2 linked regions of the Drosophila melanogaster genome follow. The protein of the gene in region 1 interacts with the protein of each later gene in a biochemical or structural test. Each region holds a gene or a part of one and is shown in the gene's direction. Other genes may lie near its edges.

Region 1 (5,151 bases):
ATTTCTCATGCTTTGGCACCAGTGGTGCTACATTATTGTTATCCTGCGGTGTCAGCTGCTCCTGTGGTGGACTCGCCGGTGCTCCCATGGCCGTTTGTTGTGACTGCAATTGCTGCTGCTGCGGAATTCCCTTGACGATTCCAATGTTGTCAAACTGCTTGGCATCGTGGCCCCTGAAAGAGACAAGTTTTGTCAGTTGATGGTAGCCGCACAGGTGCATATTTAAACACAGTTTGTTAGCCTATTAACAATTAGGGCTAGGTAAGCGCTTTAAGGGGTAGTTTCCAAACTAACTAGCATATAAAAACCACCCACCCGAAACTTTTTTTCAATTCCTTTGTGCGGTAGCTGAGTTCGACGTTCGACTTTTGCTTTAGCAAAGTGGGCGCTGGCTTATTATTGTTATTGTTGTTCGGCCCCAGCGGCTTTTTTGTTGTTGTCATCACAGCATAGTTGTTATTATTATTATTGTTCTGCTGCTGCTGTTGTTGTTGCTGCTGCTGCTGCTGTGTTTTGTTTTCCGAACGTTGTAATATAAACTGCACATCATTTGCATACTCGCCCCATTTGAGCAGCAGCTTCATTGGATTCTCATTGGGGGCCAGGTGGCGTTCGTTATTGCGCCACCTTTCGATTAAAGTGAATCTGCCCACTTTTCCAGTGGCATGGGCCAAAGCAAAAACCACATCCTGTGGAAAATAAAACGATAATTAGGGCAAACTGACTAGCAAACAGAGCGCATACAGTTCGGGTCACATTAACAGCACTGCAGCAGTGTAAAATGCTTTAACAAGATAATAGTGCTATTATTTTGACCTCTGCTGTAGCTCACATACCTGACATGTGGTGTTCACTGTAACGCCGCAAACTATCCGCTGGATGCCCTCGACCCAAACTTTCAGCTCCATTCCGGCTAATTGTCGTCGAGTCGAGTCTCTAAAGATCGGCCAATTATTTTCGTTTCTTGGTGTTTCTGCTACCAGAAAATTGCTTTCTTGTGCCGCTCCAGCTGGAAATGGGGTTCTACTAATGGTTTTTGGCGCTTGACTGGCGTTCTGCTGTCGCGCAGCCAGCGAAGCGTGTTAGCTGCACTCCGCCTTTCCACTTTTCCGTCTGCTTTTCCCCAACCCCACTTTTCCTCGCCTGTTTTTCTTTTTTGCTTAATTTTCCGATCACAGTTTCTGCTTCTTCTTCACTTGCACTTATTCACAGCAACAACAACAACACGACTGGTTCCATACGCTTGCATGAGTGTTTGCTGGGCGTGCGGGTATGCGCGCGTGTGTGTGTGAGCTAGAAAAATTCTGATTCACTTTTCGGATTTCCGATTTGGTGATTACTTTTGTACTTCCGGCGCGGTAACTCCGTGGTTCTTCACTTTCTAGTAAGCACGATAATCTTGTTGTGAAGCAGCTCCACTGCTTTTGTTTTGATTTCACGGATTTTTAACGGATTTAATCTAAATTTTAAAAGCAAACATTGTTGTTGGCATGGGCATCCAGTCGATGCCAAAAATCGATTGCACCAACAGCCAACCAGGGATGGCCAAACAGGTGTTTTTCAAGCTATCGATAGCAATGCCAATTGGGATTGCATGTTGTTGTAACAGGTACTTGCTATTATTTTAAAAAATTTTTTTGAGATTTTTTCCCTAGTAATAGGCTTATGTGCTTATATTAGGATAATTGAAATTCCTACATGGCCTTTTCTAATTTAAGAATTCTAATTTAAGCTCATAAAAATGATGATCTTAATTTTTGTACCACCAATTGAATATTGTCTATTTGGTTAACAAAAAAAATTGTTTCTTATAACACAATATAGATGCAAACGTCTTTTCGCTTTTCACCAAATAGTGAGTGCACACTGAAGCACAAATTTGTGTAAAACCTTGTGAGAACATAAGCTATTAAATTTAAAAAATATAATTAATGGAAAAGCTTATGTGATTCGAGGACTTCAGTATTTTTTCAGAATGGCTTGCCCCGTCGCCTGGTCACACCGCTTGACTCAACCTGGAATATTCGACCACCCCGCGAACGGTCACTCTTACTCGGTCACAAAACAATGCAATATTTCGCGGAGCAGTGAATTAATCCGGAAATAATCGTCCGTGCCCAGAGCTTTGGAGGCCAAGTACCAGGGAGCTAGTCCCAGAGTTGGTCGCAGTCTCAGTAAAAACGAATCGTAGCCAACCGCGATCCTTGCAACCGTGCTGTGTCGAACCAAAGAAATCCTATTGATTTTGGGTCTGCAATTGTGCATTAAATATTAAGCAAAAACGAGGGCTGGTCGCGTGGCAGCCAGTGGCAAATTGTTGCTCCTGCGGCATAGGCAGGACACCTGGATACAGGATGCGGGCAAGCCAGCGACGGACAACGGCGAGGCTTGTGTAGGACGGGCAGAGCAACTGCTGGAGGAGAGAACTGGACTGGGAGTGGAAAACCCGAAAGCCCACTGAATATTGCGCTTGTTTTTTGTTGCCTATTTTTTTCGGGGCGTGTGTGTGCCAAAGCGTAGCAAACAAGCACAACAATGGCCAACAGCAGCCGAAGTCGGGCCATTTTGAGCGTTAATCTCGATGCGGTCATGGCCAACGATCCGCTGAGGGAGCTCTTCGAGGCCTGCAAAACGGGCGAGATCGCCAAGGTGAAGAAGCTAATAACGCCTCAGACCGTGAACGCCAGGGATACGGCGGGACGCAAATCCACACCATTGCATTTCGCAGCGGGTAAGTGAGATGCGATGCGGTTAGATCCCATCCAAATCCCTTCCAAGGACGGTCTAAAAACGGCAGCCCACCCCACCATTCGCCCAACGAAAGGTTGAAGGACTCGCCCAAACCCCCCGCTGCAGTGCGGATTTGGCCTTGAGCTAGTTGCGCCTGGGTGTGACGGGCGTCATTGTCGTCGCTCTCGGTCGGACACTCGCCTGCTCCAATGGCGTCGAGAGTTGACCTAGTTTCCATGTCGCTTCTGCTTTTGGCTCTGCCTCCTCTTCTGCTTCTGCTTCTCCTTCCACCACCGTTCTATGTGTTCTATATGTTTGGCTTGTTTCCGGAAGACCCCCTCTCAAAAGGGGAATCCCCCGTGCTGCCCCTTTTGCCGCTGCATGTGTGCGTGCGTGCTGCATTTAAGCATTTTCTATTTTCAAAAAAGACTCATACAGCTGCGGTCGAGATAATAGCACTGCATAATTAGCCATTTCAATGAGAGCTTTCACTGTCTCAGCACTGGAAATTGAATGTTTAACACACATATATCATCTGATTAGCTTTGTTTGTTTACACGTAGAATCCCATAGATAAAGGTCTGCAACATATGGTCTGATTGTATAGCTAACCTGTTTCGCAGGGTTTAGTTAGATGCTTGGCCTTTAAATATTAGATTGGGTAAACAAAATAACTCGTGCTAACATATTTATTTTATTTACATTTTTCAACTGTGAGTGATCAAATGATTAATCCTTCGTAATACAAGCATGCATGTTTTTTAACTATTATTTCGACTGCTATTGTGTCTGTTTTTGTGGGGGTGACAGTGATAGTGGGCGGTGGGCGGGGCAGTGGGCAGTGGGGCGACTTGTTGTGGCTGCTGCGTTGTATGCGCCATCCTGCTGACGTCTTTGGCTCAATATTTTCGCGTCTTTTGTTGTGACTTTGGCCTAGTTAGCATTTTATGCATTGCGATTTATTTAGTCAGTCGGCAGCATCGAATCAAAAGTGGAAAGAAACGTCTTTCCCTTCCCCATCCCCCATCCACATTCACCCCTTTCGAACAATACCCCAAAAATGCCATCAAGCTTTTCTAACCGTTTCACTCGACGCCCCTTGCATATCAATTTCGCCTTTTGGCCATTTGTGACTTCTTTTTTTTTTTAAGTTTTGAGCACTTTTTATTATCTGGCGGTGGGTCTTTCTTTCTTTCTATAAACTGGTTTTCCATTATTATGTTCGTCTGTCTTTTTGTCACGTTCTGTGCACAAAAAGTGAGATCTTCGAGGGGTCTGTTATTGTCGGGTGGCGTTTAAGTTATATATATTTTATTGCGGCTGCTTTTCACCTCGTTGAATGTATGACATTTTTGGCCACTCGAAGTTTTACAATACCTGTTGCGGTGGAAACCAAAACGGAGCTCACGTTTCCTCCTTCCTTTCCCGCAATCGTGACACATAGTAAAACGCAATCGCTTTACTTCGCTTCTTTGCGACTATCAGATTTTCTGACATTGGCCCGTTATCATGGCATTTATGTGTGTGTGTGTACATATATATAGTAAATATAGTCGATAAACCCGGAGAGACCTTCCCCTCCATATCTTGGCCATATTCGAGATACTTAAAACATACGTTTATCGCTGGCCAAAAAGTTGTGCAAATTAACCTTCGGGGTGGTAGTTGCAAATCAAGTTGAAATTGCATACATATATCTCAGTTTTTATTCATATATTGTTCACAGTCCCAAGGATCACACTTCCAAGTGGCGAGCAATTGGCGCTTTGACGCTCCAAGTGCAACAGTTGGAATTAAGTTTTCCATTCTATTAATTTTTAATGCAAAACTTTCGTAATTGTTTGCCCACAGAAAAGTGAACGGCACAAACGTTTCGCAAACCACTTTTTGGTGGGTGGCTCAAGCTTTTGTTTGCCCAGATTTGTAATTCGATCCGGTTCTCTTTGCAGTTCATTATAAACGTAGCAATAAGTACGATCATAAACATTTATTTTATGTTGATCATCTCTGGTGTGACCAATTACGGTACCCTATTAAGATGACTCAGATTTCTGGCATTGACAATGCAAAAGTTGCCAAAAGTATGTTTATAAATCGGGGGCTCGGTTGGATCATCACAACTGTCATCCGTTTATATTGATTATTATGCGACTTATTTTGATTATTTATCATTTAATTGTAAGGTTTACTTTCAACTGAACATAAGCTAATGTAAACTTTTTTGAGATTTCCTTGGGCAACAGTTCTGCAAATGCGGAAAACATATCTTTCTTTTCGTATGCCATGGACAAGGTTGAAATCCCCGAAGGCAAGACCTTCTCGCTCATTTGTAGGGCTTTCCCATCGACCAATACATGACATTCATCTAATAACCTATTCGTTTTTATTTTACCAGGTTATGGACGCCGGGAAGTGGTTGAA
Region 2 (5,255 bases), on another chromosome or scaffold:
CGTTTACTCGAGCCCGCTGAGCTGCCCTGGCTGCGTTTGGAGACATTGGACTCCAAGCTTTCCATCGAGTCGGATAAGCTGCTGGTTTTCGACTTCGCCAAGCGACAGCAATTGCTGTTATCCTTAAGCATTTGACGTCGGGCCTCCACCTCGGGAAGCTGAAGGGTTTGTAGGGCCCTGCATTACATTAAATAAGAAAAGTCAATTTAGAAAGAGATTAATCACTATGATAAGTGAATGAATGAAAAGACTTAAAGATGCCATAAGCATAGACAAGTAGGACTAAAAACCGCACCTTTTCTGCGTCTGAAGATAGTTGACCAGCGCCCAGTGTTGGGCTCGTAGTGGCCACAGGATCTTGGAGGTGCAGCTGAAGCAGTTCCAGTTCTCGTTTTGCTCGATGTCCACGATGACGCCCTTGGAGAGGTTCTTCACGATGCACGACTTGCAGAAGACGTAGGGGCAAGTGGAGCAGCAGTATACCTCGCCGCCCTGTCCGCACCAGCGGCAGTACAGCTCAGAGCCATCCTCGCCCTTGGAGAACTCGCCGCTGTTGTAAAAATCGTGGCACTTGACGCAGTGCGTCACCCGCAGTATGGGATGCATCTTGATGTTGCTCTCGGCGGCGGGTGCTGTGCCCAGGTGAAGCTTGCACACGGTGCAGTGCACCTTTCGCTGGTTCACCAGATCTACGTTGGGGTACATCTTCAGGTAGAAGCGGCGCTCCTCGTCTGAAAGCGAGGGGTGCATCTCGAACTTGGAGCCTGCGTTGCGGGTATATGCAATTTATATGCAATTTTCCACTTGGCTGATGCCCAGTACTCACTCGTGAAATCCGCATCCAATTTGGCCAGTGGCGATGGCGACGGCGTCGCTACCTTTGCCAGGCCACTTTCGCTACCCGGAGCACTGTTACTCATGACTTCTGTTCCGTATCCGGGCCTCTTGGACTAGAGCACTGCGATCCGCACCAATTTTTGTTCTAAAACGCGAAAAATTCACGATTTTCTGCTGCCGCCGCAGAAAAAAGCGGCGCGCTTATCACTTTTATGTTTGGCAACACAATAACAACAGGGCTGCAAGGGACGCGTGTTTACAATTATTTATTAGTTGGGCAAACCGGGAAAAAATATTATTGGGAGATCCTGTACTGAATGCTTCGCAGCAAGTCTCCTCGAAAATGTGTCAGATTTTTTCACCCGAGAAAGACAGCTGAATATTCCGCATCAAATTCAATATGGCTGCCCCTTCGGGTTCCAGCCGAAGTAGGCTCTACGAAGTCTATATAACAAGTTCGGACCGATACTCTAAAATTTTCTTAGGAAAACATGGCTAAAATTTTGATCAAAAAGAATATTTCTTTTTTTTTGGCATCAGAGGATCATTAAATTAGCTATAATATCACTCTAATATCACAACATTTATTGTAAATTTTTTTTAATCATTTCTATCGTTTTAAAGGCTGATAAATATATTTTATATTTTAAAGAATGTTTTCGTATTCGTTAGTCTTTGCAAGCCTTGGCAACCCTAAACTTACTAGTCATCTCTTTTACACTCATCGTCCGTCCATAAGAATCCGAACGCGTTAAGAAAGAGACAGCATATATGTGTTATTTACGAAAAACAAGAATTTTTTAAACAAATCAATATTCCAAATTGCTTTATATTTTTAACGTTTTAATTTCTCCCGCATAAGAAATATTTGAGATATCTAAAGCATTTGGCGAACTGGTTCCAGGCAATCGATATATGTGAGACCGTATAAACATATCGAGTTAACAGAATTAGTAAATCATGACTTCACATAAAATCATTAAAACAAGTTTTCAGAACGCAACAACTGATCTTCAGACAACTTTTAAAAATAAATCAAGTAAGATTTTGGAAACATAAATTCCACAATGTCAAAATATCAGTAAAAATAACTTAAAGTAACTCGAATAACTTGAACGAGGAAATCTTAATGAATAGTTGATCAAAATAATCAGTCAGAAATAGGGAATTTTATAATTGTACACATATTAGTAAGTCGTAAGGTTTCGTATTATGAACATGTAGATGTTGTACTAAGCATTTCCTATTACTATTTTAAATATATAAATATATAAATAGACATTTATATATAAGAATTTCTTTATTACAAAGTCAATTGATAGTCGCTCATCGTTTCTATGTTACAATTACTGTTTACTTTTCTTGACTTCTTCAAAATATTTAAAATATGAACATATGGATCACATTAGAAATTTAATAAATCTTTTATGTCTGGTATTTACGATATAAGCAAATTTATAACTAGCCCGAAGCAAATTCTGAATCCTTTGAAATACCTTGACAATTATGTTGCTAGTATTAAGTTAATGTTTTTATTATTTATTTATATATTTTTATTAATGTTTGTTCTACTCTCACAAAATTTTGTATATTAAAAGATTTAATATATGAAATCTGTATCGATAACTATATCGATAAATCACATTGAGATATTAGAAAATTGAAAAAGGCAATAAATTTTTTCCAGTTTTAATAAATAGTGATGGGAAACTATCGATAGTTGCGCCATTCGATATTTTCGATGTTTGGAGAGCAAATTTTCGATATAACTTTAAAATAATAAAAATATTAGCAATTTTAAATGTTTTTCTCAAATAGGTATAGTTACCTTCCAATATTCTAGAGGATCTGTATTTTCCTCTGAGTACTTCGGATTAAAAAGCATTACAAAATTTTTCAATGTCCTACGAGATGGAAGCTTATATCGCGTATCAAATGCTTTCAGTATATCGCGAAATCCATTGTCCTCCACTACTGAAAATGTGCGCATATCAGTGGCTATGTACATACTTCATGATAACTCGCCGAGTTCTGCTATCCGACGAGAACTCGAGTCGTAGCTTGGAGTCACACATTAAAACTTTTCCACATTGTGAATATTTCGCGGTCTTACCATCAGTTGATTTAACAAAAATGAACAGCACTATCGATAGCGACAAAAAACCATCGATAGTGGCTCAGAAAAGTAAATATCCGATACCTCGATAATATCGATTATCCCAGCACTAGTTCTATTTTCACAAAGATGCAGCAATATTAACAAAGTCATTTATAATTTATTATTATTTAAACAATATAGATCCTTTTAAAAAACATTGAGCTAAGGTACGTCCAAAAGATTTAAAATAAAAATTGAGAATGTGGTGGTAACTTGCTAAAAACAACTTCTCGCTCTTTCCTCATTATTTTGTTTACAAAACTTTTAAAGCAAAGGTTGTCTTGGAAATTTATTCAGTATTTATACTTTCTGTAGTGGGCTTCAGATATTGAAACTGACGTCGCTCCAAGCAAACGAAATGTAAACATATTTATATATACTAAGCATAAATTAGAACGTTCCATTCGTTCTGTTTACTCCCACCCAGATTTTGTAAAGGATTATCGGTGGCCGCAATGGAAAGTGGGTCGACTGCCAAGACGGGCGATTTCTTTTACGGTTGGGATCTGCTGTACAAGACCGTTAAGGCTGATGTCTCCAAGAAGTCAGACCTTTTGATTGCCCTCGTCCATTTTCTTTTGACCAAGCATTACAACTTCCGATGCGTTGGCGTTGGCGATGATGTGAGTATGATTATGGCCACGCATATTAGTGAAATCATCTGGAATTCCATAGAAAACCTTGCCGGAGGAGGAGGGCAGTGAGCTGCTGCCGGACAGCTGGAATGATGACGATACCAAGTACTCGCTGCGCTACGTGCACGATAAGATGCTGTATTTGCTGCTGGGCCACATCACCGAGGGCTCCCTGCTGATCAACCTGTTGGACATCAACACTAAGAAGGTATCCAACATCTGCGTAGAACCAGAGACCCTGGTACCTGAGGTCAAGGGAGGCATCACCACCATAATGCCGAGTGCCTCAGAGATTGTTGAACGCTACCGTAGGGAGCTTCTAGACCCTGTATTCACGGGAAACTCGCGCGAAGTTACCACGCAGACGACCAACTCACCACGCCCCATTGGATCGGATCCAGATCCCTTGCGCATCGGCGAGCCAAGGCGTGGCGGGTAAGAACACTTGTGGATAGTTTTTTATACACTCGTTAATCGTTTCCCCTCGTTTAGATCCTTCATTCCAAGTGCATTCGAGCCTCGCCCTTTTGGATTTCCGGACGTTGGACGCGGGGATCTCGATCCACTGGGTCGCGGTGGTCATGGTAACCTGTTCAGCTTTCCATCACGCCCAAATATGGGCCCGGGACCCGTGCCCCGCTTCGACCCGTTCAATCCCCTGAACCCGAATAGGCCGGGACAGGGTGGAATCAATCCAGATCATATGCGCCCACCAGATTGGAATCCCGATTACTACATGTAATTACCAGGAATGCCATGTATAGTGAGCAATTCAAATCTTTAGTTTAAAGCAATGAAAAAAGTTTTCATTTTAGAAGACCAAAATTAAACGGATTGTTTTAAAAGATTATTTTTATTACGTTGCATACACAATACAGAATATTACAGAATTTTACAGATATAAAATAAAAAACAGCAGCCTGTTAGACAACGCTTGTTTGAGTTTTTACTAGAAAAATTCGTAGTTAAGAACATTTATCAAGTAAATACGCAAACAGGCCAGTTGAGTTGACGGCTGCTCAAGAGAAATTTACAATATACTTAAAAGCTTAACTGAACTCGTGATGTAATGGCTATTCATTCATTTCGTACAACAGGGTAAACAAAATTGGCTCAAGTGCGTAATCTCAAAATTGCTAGGGGAAAAGCGCGAAAAATCACGGCACTAAATGTTACAATGGTTTGCGATTACTCTTGTTTTTTTTGTTGCTGCTTATGCCTAGCCTAATATTATTTTACCATAATATTTTGCTAAATTAATATAATGTAAATAATATTTCAAGCTGTGTGCAGCCGGTTGACTTAAATTAGCTCTGCACGGTAGGCGTCGTTCCCTCTCACGCCGGGATGTGCAAGTGTTGTGGTGTGTTTTGTGCCTTGGCCGCTCAAAATCCGGCTAAAATCCCGCCCAGGTGCGGTGTGAACTACGCTCAGTCCCATTCCCCGATGAACATGCGTGGCGTGGGCACGTAGCCGCGCGTTGGCAGCGGTAAATGGCGTCCGTAGATGTGATTGTAGGGTGATTCAACAAGCTCCGAATCTACAAGAAGCACAGAAATCCGTGGTTAAAAATCGGGTGCGTGTACAATTGTCGGGATAATTATGTGTGCTGGGGTGGGTGGATT

The links.
Region 2: of the proteins of Tnks (region 1) and PI31, one has a biochemical effect on the other in vitro, tested with the Drosophila melanogaster proteins (one study listed by BioGRID).

What each region holds. Positions count from the first base shown.
Region 1 is NT_033777.3:25,658,172-25,663,322, reverse strand, and holds the start of Tnks (tankyrase), read left to right. Parts: upstream 1-2,036; 5' UTR 2,037-2,535; coding exon 2,536-2,731; intron 2,732-5,048; exon of another isoform or gene 5,049-5,125; coding exon 5,126-5,151. Other genes in the region: RASSF8 (Ras association domain family member 8), read right to left, coding at 1-173, 316-689, 837-908. UniProt on the Drosophila melanogaster protein: Stimulates proteasome activity, probably by ADP-ribosylation of PI31. Modulates 26S proteasome assembly.
Region 2 is NT_033778.4:11,966,647-11,971,901, reverse strand, and holds PI31 (proteasome inhibitor 31 kDa), read left to right. Parts: upstream 1-1,786; 5' UTR 1,787-1,876; intron 1,877-3,051; exon of another isoform or gene 3,052-3,162; intron 3,163-3,247; exon of another isoform or gene 3,248-3,422; 5' UTR 3,423-3,450; coding exon 3,451-3,618; intron 3,619-3,670; coding exon 3,671-4,065; intron 4,066-4,122; coding exon 4,123-4,372; 3' UTR 4,373-4,559; downstream 4,560-5,255. Other genes in the region: ADD1 (ADD domain-containing protein 1), read right to left, coding at 1-177, 296-764, 827-920.